4 linked regions of the Coturnix japonica genome follow. The protein of the gene in region 2 interacts with the protein of the main gene of each other region in a pairwise test. Links are inferred from orthologs where the notes say so. Each region holds a gene or a part of one and is shown on either strand. Other genes may lie near its edges. The genes, in order: GEM, TRIM23, CARD9 and CDR2.

What was found.
Region 1: the proteins of TRIM23 (region 2) and GEM interact in binary tests that used the Homo sapiens proteins (3 or more experiments, as listed by UniProt). The two-hybrid records come from large-scale screens. The link is inferred for Coturnix japonica from reciprocal best matches to the Homo sapiens genes TRIM23 and GEM.
Region 3: the proteins of TRIM23 (region 2) and CARD9 interact in binary tests that used the Homo sapiens proteins (3 or more experiments, as listed by UniProt). The two-hybrid records come from large-scale screens. The link is inferred for Coturnix japonica from reciprocal best matches to the Homo sapiens genes TRIM23 and CARD9.
Region 4: the proteins of TRIM23 (region 2) and CDR2 interact in binary tests that used the Homo sapiens proteins (3 or more experiments, as listed by UniProt). The two-hybrid records come from large-scale screens. The link is inferred for Coturnix japonica from reciprocal best matches to the Homo sapiens genes TRIM23 and CDR2.

The regions. Positions count from the first base shown.
Region 1 is NC_029517.1:114,173,444-114,179,696, forward strand, and holds the start of GEM (GTP-binding protein GEM), read right to left. Parts: upstream 3,598-6,253; 5' UTR 3,457-3,597; intron 2,044-3,456; 5' UTR 2,034-2,043; coding exon 1,700-2,033; intron 1-1,699. UniProt on the Homo sapiens protein: Could be a regulatory protein, possibly participating in receptor-mediated signal transduction at the plasma membrane. Has guanine nucleotide-binding activity but undetectable intrinsic GTPase activity.
Region 2 is NC_029547.1:14,361,280-14,366,770, forward strand, and holds part of TRIM23 (E3 ubiquitin-protein ligase TRIM23), read left to right. Parts: intron 1-1,239; coding exon 1,240-1,361; intron 1,362-2,285; coding exon 2,286-2,564; intron 2,565-3,116; coding exon 3,117-3,299; intron 3,300-3,846; coding exon 3,847-4,062; intron 4,063-5,055; coding exon 5,056-5,190; intron 5,191-5,491.
Region 3 is NC_029532.1:6,404,272-6,408,946, forward strand, and holds part of CARD9 (caspase recruitment domain-containing protein 9), read left to right. Parts: intron 1-68; coding exon 69-206; intron 207-326; coding exon 327-652; intron 653-1,213; coding exon 1,214-1,393; intron 1,394-1,567; coding exon 1,568-1,717; intron 1,718-2,168; coding exon 2,169-2,294; intron 2,295-2,409; coding exon 2,410-2,601; intron 2,602-3,093; coding exon 3,094-3,135; intron 3,136-3,471; exon of another isoform or gene 3,472-3,737; coding exon 3,738-3,783; exon of another isoform or gene 3,784-4,675. UniProt on the Homo sapiens protein: Adapter protein that plays a key role in innate immune response against fungi by forming signaling complexes downstream of C-type lectin receptors.
Region 4 is NC_029529.1:8,358,490-8,363,980, reverse strand, and holds part of CDR2 (cerebellar degeneration-related protein 2), read left to right. Parts: intron 1-1,638; coding exon 1,639-1,751; intron 1,752-5,491.

The sequences.
Region 1 (6,253 bases), on a different chromosome or scaffold from region 2:
TTAGTGGAGTGAACTTTTCCCCAAATTGTAATCACAGGCTTTTCTCGAAGCCAGAAATCTACAACCAAGCAAAAGACTCAGCCAAAAATACTCTGTATTTAAAATAAAATCAAACACTGTAAACAAGAGCACAGGCTTGACACAGCTTAAAATTGAAGGATTCAAAGCACAAAGCTAATCAAGAGGGGCATCTGTGTTCATGAGTCAGATGAATCTTATAGTTAGTTGCAAAACTAATCCCTTGGAGCAGCTGTATTCCCCTCTGTGAATTGGCTGTCCTGAGACCATCATCTCTTGCAATAATATTTCCAGTTTGTAAGCTCAAGTTTGGATAATGGTTTCTTTGACTGATCCAGCATTGGCATGGGAACAAGATCCATCTGCACCAGAGGACAACATTTAGAGGACTACTTCTTTGTTCTCCATGACACAGCGAGAGGCTACAAGTACGTAACCACACTACTTGAAGATGTTCTGCCCCTGATCCGAATCATAGAATCATGGAAGCTTTTCAGTTGGAAAGGACCCTTAAGGGCCATCTAATTCAACTCCCTTGCCATGAACAGGGACACCTACAGCTAGATCAGGTTGGTTACAGCTCCATCCAGTGAGCTTACTTTGAAGTCAACATTTTAAAAGGGGAAATACAACAGCAGGTTTCCTGATACTTCCATAAAGCTGGCCTTGAAAACTTGTCATGGCCATCCTCCAAGCAGTAGTGCTGGGAGTGCAAATGAATGAAGAATCCATACTGCTTCTCATGAAGAAGGAAACTATCTGACAAGGATGTGCAAAGTAAATCCTGGCTTAAGAACCAAAAAACCTGTCCTGCCTATGCTCCACCAAAGGCTGGAAAAAAAAAGCTCAGAAACTCTCCGTGCTGTCATGGGCATCAGCACAAGCGGAACAGATAGAGGAGAGAAATGCTCTGTGTGTTGAATAGCAAAACCAGCCAGCAACTTGCACGTGTTACCAAGATGACAGCACCTGTGTCCTTAGGACCACAGCAGGCTTCTATCACTGCATGTCCCTTCTTCCACAGCACCTTGCTCACACCCTCATGGCTGGGTGCCACAGCCTCACCTTCTGCAATGACTAGTCTTTGGGACTAAGGAAGGTTTCAAAATCCTCACTAACACGGGAACATGAAATGAGGGGTAGATATATTTTGCTCAGACTCCCTACAGCCTATGCTGACACAACATATTCATATGTAAGGCTGAGATAACATATAATGGCAAATGTTTTGGAGAATTGGATAGGGCTTTTTATTTTTCATTGCATATTATTTCTGAGCATTACATTCTTGTGGACCACAAGGAAAGGTCCTTGTTTTCCTCTGCCCTATAGAAAGCTGGAAATAGCCCTTTGGAGCCTGTGGTGACACAAGAATAGGACCAGAATGAATACTGAATGGCAGCTTCCAACAAATTCTTTGAAATAAAAAAGCATGAGAATCTGTATTGTTCCTTTTCAGATGCTTTGAGTTGTTATTAGAGAGTACCATCCTCGTTGTAGCTTACTTTGCTTATTCTTGTTTTCTTAAGAGAGATGCATGTGTTGGAATTGCTTTTGACAATCAGATCCAGATGTTTGCTAGGTCAATTTTACATTAATTGACCTTTCTGATTTTCCACGTCAATTTCTGCTGCCATGGCTGGTGGTGAGCAAACACAGACCCCAGAGCATGGTGACCTACCTCCCAGCACCTCGCAGTCGCTGTCAATGCTGTCGTGTACCCCTGCAAAGATGTTGGCCAGCGACGATTTGCCCACACCTTGTTCCCCAATCAGCACCACTCTGTAGCAGTTGCTGCAGGACTCAGAGGAGATGACAGAGTCAGATGACTCCGAGGACCAGCTCCTTCTGTAGTATTCATCAGGACTGATGGTGTATCGCTTCTGCACATTGTACTCATTGGAGTCCTTCTGGACCAACAGGTTCTTCCCATCAGCAGGAATGCTCCATCGCTGCTGCTGCTGCTGCAGGCTGCTGTGGTGGGTGCGACGCATGGTAACGTTGTTGAGGGTCATTTTTTTACCCCTGGTGAGAAATGTGGAAGCCATACACTTTATTCTCAAAATACTTACAAACACACCATCTCAAGGCATCAGGTCCTGCTCTTCTATGGGGATACAGTATGCAACAACAACAACAAAAAAGGAGACTCCACACTTTTGCAGTTGCTAGTACTAGTATGCAAAGAAATATTTCTAGCTTGTGAGTCAGAGGCTTTTTCCTGGGGATGATGCCACCCCCATACACTAATCCTCTCTGTCTTTAGCCTGTACATGTTTCCTGTAGTGCTAAGTGTATGGGCAGGGAAGCACTCAGCAGAGCTCACATATGGCTGCATCCCCATCAAGAGATGGGCAGCACCTGCAGGCAACGCTCCCTGCCCTCCTGCCTCCTGGGGCAAGCAGAGGGACCCATCCCTCATACCTCAAACTCACAATCTTACACAGCTCCCATAGGAGAGGAAAGCCATGCAAGCAAGCACATGTCTTTGGGTCTCATCTATGTCGGGATAAGCTTAAAACAGTGGCTTTCTGGCTGCTAGCAGGGACACAACCAAGTCCAATGACTTTTCAGAGGAGGTATATGTTCAAGCCATTACAGAAGGTGGCACTGGCAGAAAAAGATCATAAGTTTACAAATACTAAATCAGAAACTTCATCTGTTTCACAATTAGCTAATAGGTTAGCTCTTCCAACCTTAGCATGGCCCCTAATTACACTTAAATTAGCAAACTCAGTTTTGAGCGGGTTGGCGGCAGAGCACAGTGATGTCATTCTCACGGGCCACCAGCTACCATTTTTAGGAATGTTACTTCTGTGGCTATTTGGACATTTTGCTTTTTGGAGTATATCTGAATTTTATCAGCTCTGTTCTCCATGTCAGTAGGCAGGAGAGCTGCCCATGAAATGAACTTTCAAACTTGAATAACAAGCGGTGAATGAAAACAAGCACAGCAACACATGAAAACAACATGTTCGGATCACTACTCCTTTTCACACAAAGCTATCTGAAAACTTCTTAGAATGAACATAGATCAGGCTGGAGAATAAGCAGACCAAAACCACTTTCTATCTGATCTTATTACAGCACTCACAGTACTTACTCTGTGACACGCAGTGCTTAGTGGCAAAACTAGATTCTGACAAGAAACTAGGCATCAAGCAAAGCCTGCTTCACAAAGTCAGATAGGAACCGCAGTTTGATTTACCATGCATTACTTTCTTTCAGTTTCCCCAGTGAAAAGACCAGATGAGAAAAAGCAATTCCAATTCAGTCAGATATCAGAGCCCAAACAAATGATGACCATCAATAAACAATCACGTCGCAGTCCAAGCCCAGGTTTGATGGCATGCACTGCACTCAGCTGTGTGGGTCTACAAAGCCACAACAAACCCCACAGACACAGGACCCAATGCACAGTGGCCAGAGATTCCTTACTTGTATGTGACCGTCCACGCTGTCAGCTCCGGATTCGCGCTGCCTTCCGCTCCGTGGGCTGTGTTACACTGAGCTGCTCTGCCAGAGTAAATCCCCTCCCGCTTACGGGCTGCCTCTTTAATTCCTTCTCAGCGAACCTGGTTTATATTAAGCCCATCTGATCGGAGACAGGGCTTTTCCGTGACGTGGTTGGCCTTTCCATCCAACAGCCAACCCCCAACTGGGAGGAAGCAGACATGCAGAAAAGCAAAAACTTACAAACAGCCTCAAAAGACTTACTTGAAATCATATGATTGTCTTGGTGTTGCCAGTAAAACAAACACATTTGGGGCTGACATGAGGAAAACAGGCAAGTGGAAAAATTAAAAAAAAACATGTCCTTCCATCTTGCTCAGTTCTGCATTCAAACGCCAGCAGGATTAATGGTGTTTTTAAAACTACGTGTTTCATTAATGAATATAATGCAGTAAATGTGTGATGTTCTCTGTCTGCAAAATGCAGTTAACTCCCCACTGGACAAGATGTTTTTTTGTGGAATAAAAGATCTGAATATCATTTTAGAATTATCTCACAAGCATGAATATTATTCTGTTGTTGTTTTGTTTTTTTTGTTTTGTTTTGGTTTGGTTTATTTGTCTTTTAAAGAGATCCAAAACATACAATCCTACTTTTTCCATCACCTTCCAAGGCTCTACCAGCCATCTCCCACCCCTGCTGCAGCACTCCTCCTGCAAGGGCTCAACAGAACGGCTGCCCACAGACTGAGTGCTGCTCCAGCTGGACGCCAGCAAAGACGGATGTGAATTACAGAGCACAGAGCCCGGGCGACACGGTGCAGATTCTGTCTGCAGTTTATTAGGAGAGATGGCTATACAGTGTATGCACCACAAAGCATGTGCCTGCTCCTCAAATGGTGCCATTTCTAACAGCCTGTGTGGAAATCACAATTAACAGAGCAAAGAAATAAACCTCCACAAAATACTTGGTAGGGATACCATCAGTTATACAGAAGTCTACAGCAAACTCCCACTATTTTTCCTTCTTTTTCCAAACCTGTGACTGCCCTTCCCCTGGCAGCTGAGCTTTAGCACCAGCGCTGTGCAGGGTGGAACATCCCTTCCCTTGGTACTGCCTGGCACTCATGTCACAGACTTCTGCATTTTTGTGTCTCACATAAGCCTTGTACAGAACATTTCCTCTGATAATGCAGCCCTTTATGAAACTCTTCCACTGAGATATGCCTGATTTCTCTCCCCTTCAGCTTTGTTGCACTTCTGCATTTTTCATGAGGATTTTCAGGGATCTTCTGAGCCCATCCTGTTGGATCACCTCTGTTCAGCAGTGGCTGCCCTGGCTCCAAGCCCTGCAGCTCTGCGTAGGATGCACACAACAACTGTTTGTGCTCACTGTACAGCACAGCAAAACACGGCACAACCCCTGTCAGGGAATGTTTATGGCAAGGCCAGTGGGTCTCAAAGCAGAGCACTTTGCTGTCAGCACACCGAGTTCTGAAGTTGCTCCTCCCTTTTGCAAAATGTAAATGAAGTGGGGGAGCGGATGGCTGCAGAGCTGCGTGCTGCACCCTCAAGGGATTTCAGTTCTCTTTATGTCGCCTGTCACTCGTCACCTCCTATAATAATGCAAAACCTGTCCATCACAGGGCTGCAGAGTTTTATGGCCAGATGGATGCCAGCAGAACCGTGGGCTCTAACGTCTCACCCAAATGTTTAACTTGTATGATAGCAGAAAGCACAGACAGCGGAAATGAATCACAGTCAGAAAAGGCTTTGCGTTTAGTTATGGCTCGTGTTAGATCAGCGATTGCCAGACATTGTGTGTCGTCTTCATAGCAATCAAGGTAAAGCAAACACAGCTCTCCAGTGATCCCACAATACATGCCCTGCTATTTGCTTACCAGGCATAAGAGCAGGTTAATTAATGAATTGTGGATGGAACTCTACTCAATAAGGCTGACCATGGGCCTGCATTACCAAACACACCTCCACAGACTGATACTGGGCTCTGCGATCCTGATCTGCCCTGTCCTCTCACACTCTTTGCCTGTCAACAAATCTGCAGCAAAAACTGCTAGAGACACAGCACAAGAAGAGAAAAACCATAAGGCCAGGTGCTGTCGTAAAAGCACGAGGGCTTGGATGCTGCTGGCTTGTGCAATATTAAACTTAGAGTGATCTCATGTTTGAATACTATCCATTCTGTGCTTCAATAATCATGTCTTAAAGGAATGCTCTCTGCAGGATGAAGTAAACTCCTCACTGTCATCTCTCTCTGTCCGCTTACAGTTTGACCAGGTGGTGCTCATTGCAATTAGGCAGGAATTTTCCATCAGATATAAAACAGAAGTACTTTATAGCTGGTACTTAACAAGCTATTTCATATTTATGTACATGAAGGCAAAAGTAGCTCCTCAAATCACCATCTAGTGTGAGGGTGGTGCTTAGAGCTGATCTGAATCAGCTTAGAGGAGGAGGGAAATGCAAGGGGGGGAAATGTTTAGAAAAGCAAGAAGAGCAAAATTCAGATTTATTTTACTAAAAATTGAGTGCTGTGTCTGAAAGTACACTTGCTCTCTATAATTCAGCAGAAGAATATATCTTCATTTTTCCCTTTGGAGGACCTGATTTAGTAGATCGCATTCCCAATGGTTAGTTGTTTGCAAAGGCAGATGCAGTCCACCATCCTCCTTCCCTCCACCCCATAGCAGTGTATCACATTTTTCTGCACTTCTCACATCCATCAGTGTTGGCTGGCCTCTTGGAAACTCTCAGTCCCTCAG
Region 2 (5,491 bases):
CAGTACCTAACCAAGCAGTGCAGCTCTACTCTATGAAGCAGTACAAAAAGAAAAATATTGGCAGGTTGTAAAAGCACTTGTATGTATTCTAAACTGGTTTTGAGTTTTAAATCCAGTCTCGTTTCATAGCTGTGAAACAAATGTATTGCCATTATTCTCTTTTGTATTATTATGTATTTTCCTTCAAAAGCTTTGAAACAATACATTAATATTTGTGGTGTGTTTGACTATTCTCAGTATTGTGGGGGGAAAAAAAAGTCTAGGTTAGTTGAGGCGACATCTGAATTCCAGAAGGATGCAGAGGACATACAGCTACCAGGCTGCCACAGGGCGCTGTAATAGAGGATGCTTGAAACAACACTTGGGAGAATCAGATGGTTAAAGTAGCCTGGGCTTTCTCTTTGGGAAGATAACTGGGATGTAGGTTCTGTGAGGTTGTGTCAGAGGGACTCTCCTGTCAGACACAAAATATGTGGACTGAAAGTGTCAGGAGTTTCTGAAGGTTGTTTGGAGCCAACTGCTGTTCCAGTGGTCTTTGCACCTGAATTACAAGAGGAAGCCCAGATTTTTTTTCTGGATCTGGTGCTGTTTTCTAAAATTGTTTTCTATGTTCATGGTTAAAGCAACATTTATGTTGTTACTTGAATGAAATGACAAGCCATTTTATTTACTTTTTTACAATGCCTTAATGAGCAGAAGTGCACTGATAGATCTGTTTATATTCTTGCACTGGTATGTTTGCTTGGACTGTAAGTATTTGAAATATGAAAGTGTTATGTACATGCGGCTTTGTCTAGGAAATGCTACTGTCTTTTCTTGTGTCAGCAACCCTGTACAAAATTTTGATAGAGGAGATAGCTGGCATAGGTTTTCTGCTGTATATCTGTTAGTGCAGTAGAAATGTTAACTATACATAGTTAAGTAAATTGTATTAAATTTCATGATAATTATAGTTCTTATGGTCTTTTGTTGTTAGTTATCGCGGATTATTTTACAAGTGGCATTTCTTAAGTAGGGACAATCTGCATAAACAGTAAATAATTCCATGATGGAAAGAAGGAACAGGATGGAATGTTATTGTGAGCTGACATTGAGCAGCCATGGTACCTCACTGGAATTATATGTTCTTTTTAATGTTAGTTAAAATCTTCTCTGTGCTTTGTGAAATTCTCATTATGTTATTTGCTTAGGCGTTTTATTCCTATCCCCTCACTTTATTTAGTTGTTTCTCAAAAATAGGAGATTCTGGTGTCTGGGGACTGAAAAAGAATTTTGCTTTGTTGGAACTATTGGAACGGCTGCAGAATGGGCCTCCTGGACAGTGTGGGACAGCAGAAGAAGCCATTGGTCTATCTGGAGAGGTACAGATTTTGGAAAAAGAACTGTGTTACATTTGTGTAAAAATATTATTAGATAGAAGAAAATTTTCTTGGCAAGTGTGTTTGCATTAATAAAGTTGTTTTCTTTCTGTATCTAACATGAAGATTATCAGTAATTCATAATTTAATTCTAATGTGCACTTACTAAATCAGAGAAGTTATTACCAAGTCTTCCCCCCTTTTTTAGGCTTTAAAGACTTTTCCAGAGGGTTACTTGTTTGGATATTTTATTTGTAATAATTTTAGGAGAGTTTTCTGGAACTTCCTAGCATCTCTTTTTACAGACTTTGAAACAGCTCTTCTTTCTGGATAGTTACCTTTTATAGTCATTCAGTGTGACTGTGTTGTATAATAGCTTCTTTACCAGAAAGGACTGCTTTAAGCAGTCTGGTATTAACAGCTGTTATGCACAAAGCATGCAGTGCAATTTTAGGAGCAGATCACTGTTCTGAGCACATATTTTTCTATTGTTGTTTTGTCTCTAACTTTCTCATTCTTCTTTCCATAATGCTTATGTTGAAGAGCTGTCTGGAACCTGAATTACTTTAGCCTCAAAAGCTCTACTGCTTCTGCTGAAGTGTACATTTAGAAAGTCAATTAACCGCTCAATCAAAACCCTCTAGAGTAATATTGGAACTTACTGTTAGGGAAAGTGATTTTTTTATTATTGTTAAGTAACAAGAGGTCAGGTTTTCAAAGTAGTCCATATTGGTGTCGGGTCTTCTGACTTTTCCGCTGTTGCTGAAAATTATTTATAATTTATATTAATAATTACTTTTATTATTAATTAATAAATTATTAATAAATAATAAATACTTTAATATTTTATTAATAAATATTATTAATATATTAATAAATATTAATAAATACTAACAATTTTGGTTTATGTTGGTGTTATTTTTTTAGAGTATCATTCGCTGTGATGAAGATGAAGCCCATGTTGCATCTGTTTATTGCACTGTTTGTGCCACTCACCTGTGTGCAGACTGTTCTCAGCTTACTCATTCTACAAAGACACTAGCGAAACACAAACGTGTACCTCTTGCTGATAAACCTCATGAGAAGACCATGTGCTCCCAACACCAAGTGCATGCTATTGAGTTTGTTTGTTTAGAAGAGGATTGTCAAGCCAGTCCTCTCATGTGTTGTGTCTGCAAAGAGTATGGGAAGCATCAAGGTCATAAGGTACTGCTGAGAATCTGTTTCTGGTCATGCTATGGAATGACTTGCATATTATTTATCCAATTTAAGTAGAAAAAGTTATCAAGAGAGGAGAGCAGAATCTTGATGTGCTTTTATAGAAGTACTGTCATTATTTTCTTTCCTTTTTCATTAGGAGAACTGCCACAATAAAAGTTACAGGGAAAATAGTTACGATTAAGACTATATTACTTATAAGTAAATTATATAGTTAATTTGATGCTTTTCAGATCTTCTCATGGTATTTTATTGCCTGACCTGAAGGTTGTTATTCATCTTGTAGTTTGTTCACCCAATCAGTTGCATTCCAACCTCCCTTTTGTGTGTGCTTTAATAAGTAATTATAGTAAATAGGCAAATTTCTGTTTGTACTTATATAATTGCTAGATGCCTGTCTTAGTAGTAGAATAGTATTTAGATTCTAAATAATGCATTTATGTGATTTACTTAATTAATATATTTTTTATCTAGTACGACAGAAGTGATATTTAAAGAAAATATTTGATTGATCATTGATATGTTGCTTTTAATTAATAGCATTCTGTCTTGGAACCAGAAGCAAACCAGATTCGTGCATCCATTTTAGACATGGCCCACTGTATAAGAACTTTCACAGAAGAAATCTCAGATTATTCCAGAAAATTAGTTGGAATAGTTCAGCATATAGAAGGAGGAGAGCAAATTGTTGAAGATGGAGTTGGAATGGCCCACACAGAACATGTATGCTATCTTCTTTGTTGTTTTTTCTTTCTTGCATATACAGAATATTTACAGATTGTAATAACAAATGGGAGCTTGTAAGGTTGTTTTTAAGCTTTTAACAAATAAAGATCTTTTTGGGAGGTAGTTAATTATAACATACTTCATTACAATTACATTTCAAGGAAGTTCTTGGAAAACTATATGTAGGCTTTACAAGACAAAACTTTTAAGTTTTAATGTCTACTGAGAGATTAAGACTTCTGTCCCAATATTGTTATTGAGACAACAGTTAAAGGCAATCTTGTAGTACGTGTCAAGGTTTTTAGTCATCATGAATGTAGAGAGTCAGTAAGGAAAGAGGTGTAAAGGCTACTTGATTATTGAAATAATTTATCTGAAATCTTGACCTTAACAACGATGAGGCTGTCTATGTAAATGGGACTAGAACTGTAAGGTAACTAAACAGGCTTGAACAAAATTAAGAGATATGAATAAAATGACACATACACTTGTACAGTCTTGTGGTGTTTTTGATTCTCTTGACATTTTGATTGTGACACTGTAGGTACCTGGGACTGCAGAGAATGCTCGCTCATGTGTCCGAGCCTATTTTTCGGATCTTCATGAAACCCTCTGTCGACAGGAGGAAATGGCTCTTAGTGTTGTTGATGCTCATGTGAGAGAGAAATTGATTTGGCTTAGACAGCAACAAGAAGACATGACTATCCTATTGTCACAGGTTTCAACAGCTTGCCTTCATTGTGAAAAGACTTTACAACAGGTAGGTTGGCAAGTGAGCTGCAGCATCTGGCAAGAGAAAGATAATGCAGTGTAAGTTTAGGCTACAAACAAAAAAGTGTTCTGCATTTTATTTTATTTTATAATTTTAAAACTGTAATTATATTACATGAGATTGGCCAAGTCCTCCAGTTGCTGTAAATTCTATGGCATGACTCTAGAGTAACTTCTGGTTGAATACGGGAGAGGTTTTTGGAACAGAGGTGAAATGGAAGGAAGGAAGAAAACGCCTGTGGGATTTGTGGGAAGGATTTTATAGCTGCAGTTGCTAACAGTTTTTTGAAAATGGTTTTTTGAAAACAGTTTTATACTAAATGACTTGCTCTTGATCTTTGCACTTGCAGTATGGATAATTCAGTATCAGATTAAATGTGTGAAGGAAGTGAATGTGTAAGACTGTCTGATGCAATATTCTCTTAATGATAACAAACAGTAGATGGCATCTATAATGAACTGTGTGAGAAATTACTTCATTAGTGTGTTACTTGCACTTAAAAATTTTTATCTAGTGTCTGATTGCTGAGTCAAATGTACATTTAACTGCAAATCTTTGTCAGCAACGTCACAGTACTGATAATCTTTTTTATCAATTGTGTTACTATGTGATGTGAAGCTGCAACTGTATTTCAGCTGATGATGTTATGTGTGAATGATGTAAATATTCTAAATGTTTAGCTTTACTCTGTTTTATAATTTATATTCTTTTACATGAAGGACTAAGAGATCTAGGAATAACTTTTTTTAAAACACAGAACTGTTCAGTATCTACTGGTATTAGAGAAGAATGACAAGACCTAATTATCTAAGTACTTTTTTTTGGTTTTTAAAGTTTTTATGTAAATATTTCTTTACCTAAAGTATTTGTTTAAAATGAAAGTTTTAAGTTCTCTTTCCAACTGTTGTGTTTACGGTTGTTTCATTCTGCTAAGTAAATTACTAAGAAAGCGTTATGCTTTTGTGGTTTTTGTCTATTTAGGATGACTGCAGAGTAGTGTTGGCCAAGCAGGAAATTACAAGACTGCTAGAGACATTACAGAAGCAGCAGCAACAATTTACAGAACTTGCTGACCATGTGCAGCTGGATGCTAGCATACCTGTCACTTTTACAAAGGTACTTTTAATCTCATGAAAATATAACTACCCAATTTATCAAGTGCTAGATGTGCTTTAAAAGAAAGCAAAGCAGGAATTATGTATCTTCTTTACAGTGCTCTATTTGTTTCAGCAAATGTAGACAGTTCGACATGAAGTTATCACAAGATGAGTGCTCTCTGGGGCAACAAAACCACTCTGTTATAATTAGTACAAGAAACAACGTTTAACGTTGGCTACACCAGTAGTTTTGTTTGAAGATCAGCTGCTTTTCTTCAGAGATTTAGGTTAGCATTCATGAATTCCAGAAATACTTTTAT
Region 3 (4,675 bases), on a different chromosome or scaffold from region 2:
CAATTCTTTGTTCTGTTAAAAATAGGTGAAGAGAGAAAGGAATTAATAGAACATTGCTGCTGTTCCAGGTGTTCTTCTGGACATTCTTCAGCGAACGGGGCACAAAGGATTTGAAGCATTCATGGAGAGTCTCGAGCTTTATTACCCACAACTGTATAAGAAAATAACTGGGAAGGAGCCGAGCAGAGTTTTCTCTCTGATTATAGGTAATGTTTGAGTTCTGGCATAAAACTTTTTAGTGATAAGTGAGTGAAATTCTGGAGCGCGCGCGTGTGTGTGTGTGTTGCAGACAGGACAGCAGTTAGTGATACTTGTCTACCTGACAGACACAGCTGGGGAGTCAGGCCTGAGCCAGCTCCTGATGAATGAAATTACAAAGCTGCAGAGAACAGTGCAGGAGGAGCGGCAGAAGGCCCAGGAGCTCACCGTGTGGCTGCACACCAAAGAGAACATGATCAGAGAGATGTGGGTGAGGGACAGCCTGCTCCGCAAGCACCAAGAGCGGGTGCAGAAGATGAAGGAGGAGAGGGACAGTCTAAGCAAGGAGCTGCGGAAGTGCAAGGATGAGAACTATAACCTGGCAATGAGCTATGCCAGACAGAGCGAGGAGAAGAGCAGTGCCCTCATGAAGAACAGGGACCTGCTCCTAGAGGTGAGTGACCCCCTTCTTAAGCATCCTCCTTCTTGCTTGATCCCTGAAGAGCTGTGCTGTACATCAGGTGTGTCTTTGCCTGGGATGGTGTGGCTTAGTCTTGATCCCTGAAGAGCTGTGCTGTACATCAGGTGTGTCTTTGCCTGGGATGGTGTGGCTTAGTCTTGATCCCTGAAGAGCTGTGCTGTACATCAGGTGTGTCTTTGCCTGGGATGGTGTGGCTTAGTCTGAGTTATTGTGTGTATTCCTTGCAGGTGGTATGTCTTAGTGGTCCCTGGCTCAGCCCTGTAGGCCCATGTGTTACAAGCTGTGCCATGAAGAATCGAGTCTTCCCCTTGTTTGAGGCTGGGCCTTCTCACAAGGGCAATGTAGAACCAGCCTGTTGTACCCATTTAGCACAAAGTCTCAGCTCCCCAGAACACCAGACTTCCTAAGGAACATAGAGCTGGGGAAAAGCTTGCACCATGCTTGCCTGATAAATGGGGAACTCTGCCACGAGAGCACTGCTTTTGCAACCAGGCTTTTGTGTCTGTTACTGATGAGCTCTGAACCTCCTTGTAGATTGACAGCTTGAAGCATAGCCTCATGAAGGCTGAGGATGACTGCAAACTAGAGCGTAAACACTCAATGAAACTGAAGCACGCCATAGAACAGCGTCCGAGCCATGAAGTGATGTGGGAGATCCAGCAGGAGAAGGAGTTGCTTTTGGCCAAGAATCAGGAGCTGGAGAACACTCTCCAGGTTGGTGGGGGGGTGACTGGGTGAGGAATCTAAAGAAATTATTCTTCTATGCAGCCAGCACAGCGATGGAGCTGTACTGAGTGTTTTGAGGGTCAGCTATGGCCTTGTTCTCCCAAGTTGTACAGAGAGCACGTTGGATTTCAGAGTTAGATGGTTGCTGTATCTTTTGTTCAGCAGGTTGCCAGAGAACAGAATTTGGAGAAGAATCTCTCCCGTGAGACTGTGCAGAATGACTGCAGCCAGATACTGGAGCGCAGGGACCTGCTGAACACCCTGTACCACCTCCGCAAGGAGCTGCGCCAAGCCGAGGTGCTCCGAGACAAAGTGTGTGGTGCAGTACAAATCCCTGCTGGGGCTCAGTGGGGTCAGATGGGCAGATTAAGCACATAAAGTGTCTTACCAGTGAAGCAGCAGAGCTGCGAGGCAGCATTCGCTGATGCTTCTATTCTAGGGTCTGTGTTGCAGTTTGAGGGAAAAGATGTGCTAATATTCTAGTGGTCTGAGTCTGTGACATTAACTGTGTTACCTGTTGATGCCTGTGCCTCAGCCTGCAGGGTGATGGGAGCTTATATCATGATTGACAGCTCAGGTACATGTAAAATCTGCCATGTTAGCAGGCTTTCTAGTCATACTGCCTGGTCTTCTGGTTGGCTTTGCTCCGGCAGGGCAGTCTGGCTTTGGTGTTGCAGGGAAGTCTGGCTATAGCAATCTGTGATATAGAGCAGAAGTGATGAGATTCTAGCTTGGGCTCACCCCACAAGCCATGTCTCAACAGTATGCAGAGGAAAAAGAGATACTTGAACTACAGTGCATGTCTCTGAGGAAGGACTCCCAGATGTATAGAAAACGGATGGATGCTGTCTTACAGCAGATGGAGGAAGTGGCTTCAGAAAGAGACCAGGTGATAAAACGTTCCTCCAGAAGCTGCTGCTAATCCCTGGCTTGCTGCTTGAAGCAGGCAGGTATTGTAACCCTGAATGTGGTGTCGTGCTACAACACGTTGCCTCTTACACCAGGCACTGCTGACCAGAGAACAGTTCTACATGCAGTACTCAAAGAACCTGATTGAGAGGGATGCTTATCGGAAGCAGATTCGGGAGCTGGGGGAGCGATGCGATGAGCTGCAGCTGCAACTCTTCCAAAAGGAGAGTCAGCTACTGGCTACTGAAACCAAGCTGAAAAGGCTGCAACTGGAGCTGCCTGCACTGGTATGTTTGTGGGGTTATTGTGTGTGATGAGTTGGAAAGTGTTGAGTCTAGGATCCAAATAAGACTGCTTTGAGACACTGAGACCTAACCAATCCGATTTCAGCAAGCAGTGGCCACCTGCTTGGGTAACCATTTATTTCTGTGAAGACGTGATGGTTCTTAGGAGCTCACCCTGGTCTGCTGAAGCCTTACACATTTGGAGTGCTTCCAGACACCATAAAGGCATTGTCACCCACTAAAGAGTGAACTCTGGAGTCTGTACAAGCCATTTGGGTGAAATAGGAGCAGGGTATGAGAGTTCATGGAATTAAATGAGACATCTGAAGACTTGTAATTATTGTGGCATCTTATGTGCTTTCTCCAAATGGTCAGATGAGTGTAGGAGGAAGTTAGTTCACATTTCTATCTTCTGGAGCTTTTGATGTCCTCTGTGTTCCATTGCAGCCATTTATTCACTCATGAGGAGTAACAAACTTACTGGTTTTATTTCAGACTTCTGACCTGGATGACACCTCCTCCAGAGATTCCCAGGATGTGAGTAGGGTGCCTTGTTTATGTTTCATTTTCTCCTGGGATGGTTTCAGCTTCCTCAGTTGCGCTAATTCCCAAAGAAGCAGCAGTCTGTGCTCCATGGGTCAGGCTCACAGCAGTGACATCAAGTCCTGAGGCAGCAAAGCAGGCTAACAGCTAAGGGTGGCTTCTCCTTATGTCCTGAGACTTCTGACCATGGGGATGCAGCTGTGATAAGATTTAAGTCCAAGCAGACCAGAAGATTCAAATTATTTTGCATTGCTTCTAATCTCTCTCTTATGAGAGAATGTGCAAAAATAAGTATTATCCTGAGAACATGCGTAGAAAAGAGGGTTTTGGTTTTTTCCAGCTTAGTTCATAACTGTGGTAGGGGTTGTCACATTGTCTGGAGACAAAATGAATGAGCCCATAGTCATGGAGGATAAGTCTGTGTGTAGATACACAGCTTCTAGTTCAGAATGTTTCCTGTTTTGCTTACAGCAAGATGCAGTGGGGGAAGGTCGGTTATATGCCTGTGTCCTGTGTTCCTGCATTTGTTCCTAGCTATTGTCTGAGAAAGAATATGGAGTACTTCTCATGATCTTAATTTGTTTGTGTCCCAATAGCTTACTCTTCATGCTCACCTAGATGAAGATACACACCTGACTGAAAGTAAGGTTTCTACTGGGGAAAACATACAGCATGGTTCTTGATGGGGTTTCCCAGTGTTCAGAGGGACAGGAACAGACACTTTTAGTGCAGAAGAGGAATCCACTGACTGAGGGTTTGGTCATTTGGGTGAAATAGGAGCAGGGTATGAGAGTTCGTGGAATTAAATGAGACATTTGAGCACTGCCTTCTGAATTGGGCCAGCCAAAATCACCTGGTACACAATGCCTTCAAAAAGCAGCTCCTGGATGCCTCTTCTTCACACAGTCCTCTCGTGTTTGTGGCTGAGCTGAGAATGGAACAAGCATCCTTCCACTCCAGCTCAACCACATGTCTTTCCCCAGAGACATTTCTTTCCTCTCTCTTATGTTGCAGGCTATTTTCACAAAAGCAGAACCATGTAATTAACACTGTCCCTGGTTCAGTTCTTGTGGCAGCCCCAGTGGAAATGATTCAGCAGCACAGAGAAGAGCAAACAGGGTCCTTTAAAGCTTGAGATTCTCCTTTGAAACATGTTCCAAAAGGAAGGAATCAAGCAGAGATCCTCACCTGAAAGAATTAAGCAATCATTCTCTGAGATGGGAGACTTTTCACAGCAGCTGCCACACTGAAACAAAGCCTTTTCTTACCCTACCTCAGCCAAATCAGAATGACATATCACAGTATCTGATCACTGCATTAGGAGTTGAGCTAAAATACGATCTGTTGAGTATCTGAATGTGCACATCTTCCCTGTGGCCCAACACCAACAAACTGTGATTCATGTTTAGTGGGATTTCTTCTTGTTATCTCCATCATTATTCTTTCAGTGACATTAGGCAGAGGTGCTGCTCTGCACTGGTTCATTTTGCTTCTCCACAAGCAGAAATTAGACAGATGGTGTCTGGTGATCCTA
Region 4 (5,491 bases), on a different chromosome or scaffold from region 2:
TAGCAGTTTGAGAAAAAGCCCTGAAATAGGCTGTGTTTCTTAACAAGGGGTGTTACAACAAAAAAGCTATGTGAGGATAAACTGCGAAGTGTAAAGCAGCGAGCCACGCGGCTCCCAGCTCTAACAAGAACTTGTATGCAGGGTGATTTGTTGTAAATAAATTCCAGAAACATTATTCAAAGCATCTGACAGCTACAGCCCGTTGTTTCCTACCTTAAAGTACATGTAATGGATACCACAGCTGTTGTTTGTCCTGAGCAGGACATCTACAGCTTACACAGACAAGTGAATGGGAACATTTTTCTGTTTGGTCTGAATTCAGTCTTTGGTTTATGTATCTGGACCAAGTGCTCACTTCAGACATGCTGCCAAAGTGAAGGTTAGCACAAAGCAGTCTGGGAACAGCCCTCTGTCTGCTACAGCAACCAGCTGATAAGGGAACTGGGGAAGGGCAGGAAGGAGATGAGAAACACCTTAAAACAAGGGCATCTTAATCACATGAAAACTGAGAATGTTTTCTTGTCTAACTAGAACAGCGGGTGATGCAGTATGTCTCATGTATTCATTTCAGGCATCTTAAAGAGAATCTGGGTTTTTCTTGAACCTCCTTCTGCTTCTTTCCCATTAGTGATGCTATCCCTACCCATATGAGAACTAACAAGGCTGCCTGCATGCAGGAGAAACCTGGTCAGACCCAGGTAATGGGAAGGAGGTGAAAAGTAACGTTAGAAATCTGTTGAATTTGGAACATGTAATACCTGCACAGTGTAGTTACTATTTTAGCAATAACACAGGATTGATTTCATCACGTTATGTTAGTTTTTAAATTGCATGCATCTTTAAACATAATAATATGAAACATCTAGCAATACTCATGCTGCTTCCCTTCAGAAAGGAGCTGGGTGTTCAGATGACTTATTTCTTAATATGAAACAACTACAGTCACTGTACCCTGGAGGTGATTGAAGTGAAATAGAGATTAAGTGCCTGCGAACAAATTCCACTTAAAATGGTGTTTTGGAGCACATAAAACAATTGCTGTCTCCCAGGTTTATGAGCCTGAAATGCAGAATAGCTGCATTTCTTTAAGTTTTGTGTCTTTGATTTTACTAGTTCACCATCAAGTGCCTCAAACTTTCATTTTGCTCTTGATCCTGCGCGACCCGAGCTCCTTGGCAAACAACACAGTAAATGAGGATGCAATCAGCTTTGGCCTCAGAATAACCTAATGAGCACTTATGGGGTGTTTTGTGCTTATTCTTCTGAAACGTGACTGTTGTAACCACAGTGAAATAGTTACAGTTAACAGATGCTGTGGTTAGAGGTGCGTGCAGTACAGGGCAGATGGAGGGGAGCAAAGAGAAGGTGTCTGCCTGTGTCTGCCCTAAGGCTGTGGTACCCAAGGAGGACCCCAGGAAGGTCCATGAAGAAGGAATACCTTCTAGGTTTCAGGACTTACTTAAGTCTTTGCCTTACAGACAGTATCTGAATGGCCAATGCATCTGTATGCAACTTCATCTTTGGGTACCGCAGTCATTTAAAAAAATAATAATTCTACTCAGTATTTTAACCAAATACTTGAAAAACAGATCATGCTTTCGGGTCCGTACCTTATGTGCATGTGACTTCTTTGTTTAGATCTTCACCTTGCTGCTGAGCTTGGGAAGACGCTACTGGACCGCAACACTGAACTAGAAGAATCTTTACAGCAAATGTATGCAACAAATCAAGAGCAACTGCAGGAGATAGAGGTAAATATTACAAGAATCCAGGTGTAAGCCATGTAGATGTGCAACAGAACAGCTCGTAAGCTGAGAACTGATTTCTTAACATCTGATTGTTCAGTGTTTCTCTTGAAAGCGTCAGCCTTTAACTGCTCCTGCTACCTCAAGAACTTTCACAGGCTTTGATCATTGTTAGACCCATTTGTCTCATTAATGGAGTCTTTGTGCCACAAAATTCCTGTTGGATTCAGCTTGAATAATGACACATAACTGATATTTTTTCTACAGACAAGCTATTTCAGGAATGTTATAGCTAAATTTTGCTGGTCTTGTCTGGTAGGAATGATATGAAATTATATGATGAATAAATTAACAACTTCATATTATTTTAATTATTAATGATTACTGCAGTGAAATTTAAATGCTTGACAAAAAAGCATGATAAAGATTTAAGGAAAGTTGAAGGATGTGTTCTTCTACTGGGGTAAAGGGAACTGCAGTTCAGTTAAAAACTAAAACCCAACAAGAACAAACACAGAACAATACCTAAATACAGGACGTGTGGTTCTTAGGTGTTTTCGGGAGGGAGAATCAGAGCTGCCCTTTTGGAAACACTCATCTTTGTTACTCCATGGAAGCCCCAGCCATTCTTGGCAGTTTCTCTAATGGTGCTTATATTCTTGCAGACCTAACATTTGCCAATATAATGATATTTTTTTTAAAGCTATTTGAGGGCAATGTGCGGCCTCTAATAATTAAATGTATTAAATATTCAGTACTTCTCCATTACTCTGGCAGTGTAATGGAAATGAAGTCCAGTGTTTCAATTTGGCTCTGGTATGAATCACAGGGAATAGGCTGTGACTGGTATATGCTAAATTCTTACAAAATCAGAATTCACTTGTGCAAGCTTTACTTACGTGGTTACAGTTGGAGTATTTTTGTACAGCGGCAGCTCAGGGCTTAAACCTTTTATCATTGTTGTAGCAATAGGTGACTTAAAAAGCCTAAACTTGAGCCTTAGAAGTATATAGGTGCCTTCTAAAATAGTCACGTTGATATAAATAAGCAGCTTTTCGTTTATTTTATAAAGCGCTTTTGTTTTATAACCTGATGTTTTCACTTAATAGTAGAAAGAACCAAACTATGTCTTTGTTATCACATCCATTCGGTGACACAATGGTTAGAATGGCCTGTATTGATTGCCAGTGCTATAGCTCTTTTTTTTCTTTTTGTTTTGTTAATATTCACTTATGCAGAGACTTGCCTCACTGAGATGAGGCTTTTACAGGGAAGGTTGATTCTTTAGATCTAGAGAGCACTTCAGGGTGTGTTGCATGGCACACTTCAAGGTGTGCTGTGCAAATACTGTTCTACTCCAGGTTCAACTCCTGTATGACAGCCATGTTTAAGAAAGTGTTTAACGCAGATACAGCAGATTTTGAAATAACACAGCCTAACTCTGCAGTGCACAACTAACCCGGCTCCTTGAGCAGAGCTTCTTAATCAGTGGCTGTATTATAATGCAGTCTTGAAACATGGAAAAAGACCCGATTGCTCAGTTGCATTTATTTACAGAAATATCCTTGTGCTATTAAGGATGTGGTATCTCGTTTGGTTTTAGCCAGCTTATTTGACTAAGATCTTCTTGTTTCATTTTGGTTTGTTGTTTTTAAGCTCTCTACATAGGAGAGCTTTAGCACAAGGAAGTGGTGAGAAGCATCCTTCTAGCAGTGATGTGTAGTTGGTGTATAGCAGGGTCATGTCCTTGTATGTTCAGACTGACTTATTTATTCTCTTAACTTGCTTGGTTTCGCCAATGGGAACCGGGAATTCCCTGCTGCACAGGATAAAATATTCAATGCTATTTCCAGGGTTTACACTTGATGTTCCTAATGTTAAAGTCTCTGCAATACAGTCATTCTTTCAATGCTTTTGGAGCTACTTTGCCAGACTTTAGACTACCCTTTTCTGTACAAAAAAGCAATGATTTTTTTTTCCCCTACTAATTCATATCTTACAGGAAGCAAACTCCCAAACATAGAATGATTAATAGAATGATATTTTGAAATACGGTACTATTTGTCTGCACTAAAAAAGGAAGGGTCAAAGGCTTTGGGATGCTTAAGATTACAGTTGATAAGTTAAAAGTTAACATATTAATTGTTTTACTGCCTTGGATCATTCTATCTGACCTCTGTGCTGACACGTGTTCCACAAACTAATTGCTGCAGGTGTAATAAGTGCTGGATTGAAAGGGCAGCTTTATCTCTGTCTGCATCGTAGTATTTCTCAAGTTGGTGTGCAGAGAACCAGAGCTCTCCTCTCATTGTGTGCAAGAGTGCCTGAAGTCTCAACTGCTGCTCCATTATATGTACTCAACTGTTGTGCAGTATGAACAAATGTCAATTCCTAAGGTGTTACCAGAGCCATACCTTGTTTTGATGTTCTGGTCACACCAGGCCAACTTGATACCAGCACTGAAGATGCTGAAGACTCAAGATGAAGGAAATAGCATTTCACATCTTCCATTCAGTTAAAACTTCCACAAAAGCCCATTAGGAGAAATGGCGACATCAAATTCTGCCACCAAAACCTTGGTTTCTGTGTTCAGCCACTCTTATATTGCTGGAGGAAATATGAAGATCTCTGTAGCTCTTTCTGAGAGTAACCAACAGGAAAAGTTAATCTGGAGAGGGTCACACTGAGATTCTGCAGCTAATCCATGTACTATTTTAGTGTAAATCCTGCCACGTGCACACAGGCTGCAGAAGGATCTGGCAACTGCTGTCATGCTGATCTTCAGGAAGTCTATGCAGCAGTTACTAGTCTCAGATTAACTTATAATCTGTTCTTAAATTGCCTAAAATATAAACACATCGATCTTTTAAGGAGGTAAAAGGTTAAGCAGAATGTTACAAGTTTTCAGCATGTAACTGTGTGTACGGAGATGTAGTTCTGCTCAGAAGTCCAACAGGTGCTCATATGTTTAGTATGTAGTAACACAGAATTTATTTTATGGCGTTAATTCTACGTAACAAATAAGTATTCAATAGTTTAGGGGTTGGGGGGTTTGTTATCAAGTCTGTTTATTATAAATTTTTGTTCTTTTTTTCTTTTTTTTGAAGCTGGCTCAGTGCTGCCCTAGCTGGGACGATATAAGGCACTTGTACTGAGAGTCTTAGGTGATGGTTAACTTTCTGAAATAATCCTAGACACTTAGCAGGTTATTTTGTTAACCATAAAAGTAAAGGGAATTAAAATGAGATCACTTTGTGTGGAGTTGTATTTAAAAAAACAAAACAAAGTGCAGGAGACTTTTTCAGCATTATAATGACTGAAATAGTTCCCTGTAGGTAATTAAAGACTGAATCCAATAGCTTGGTTCTACTTCCTGACACATAGGAGTCTGCAGAATCTCAGGTGTGACCACATCCTAAAATGTGTTTTGCTGAACCTAACGCTGATTCAAACATAGACAAGCAGAAAAACAATCAGGGTAGTGCTACCCAATACTTCAGTTTAAATGCTGAGAAAATTATTGGGTCAACATTATTACAAAATTTATGATGTAGTTCAGTGCAACTTTTAGAAGGACTCTGTGAAGAACTGTGTTGAAATCCAGGTTTGTGGCTGAGTTGGTGATGACTGCAGCACAGACAAACCCAATCCAGATGGGTTTGTGGTAGCACTGGCAATAGTTTAACTGCAGCAAGGATGGCTAAACAGATAAACACAGTTTGCACGAACCAACCCAACTCATGTGG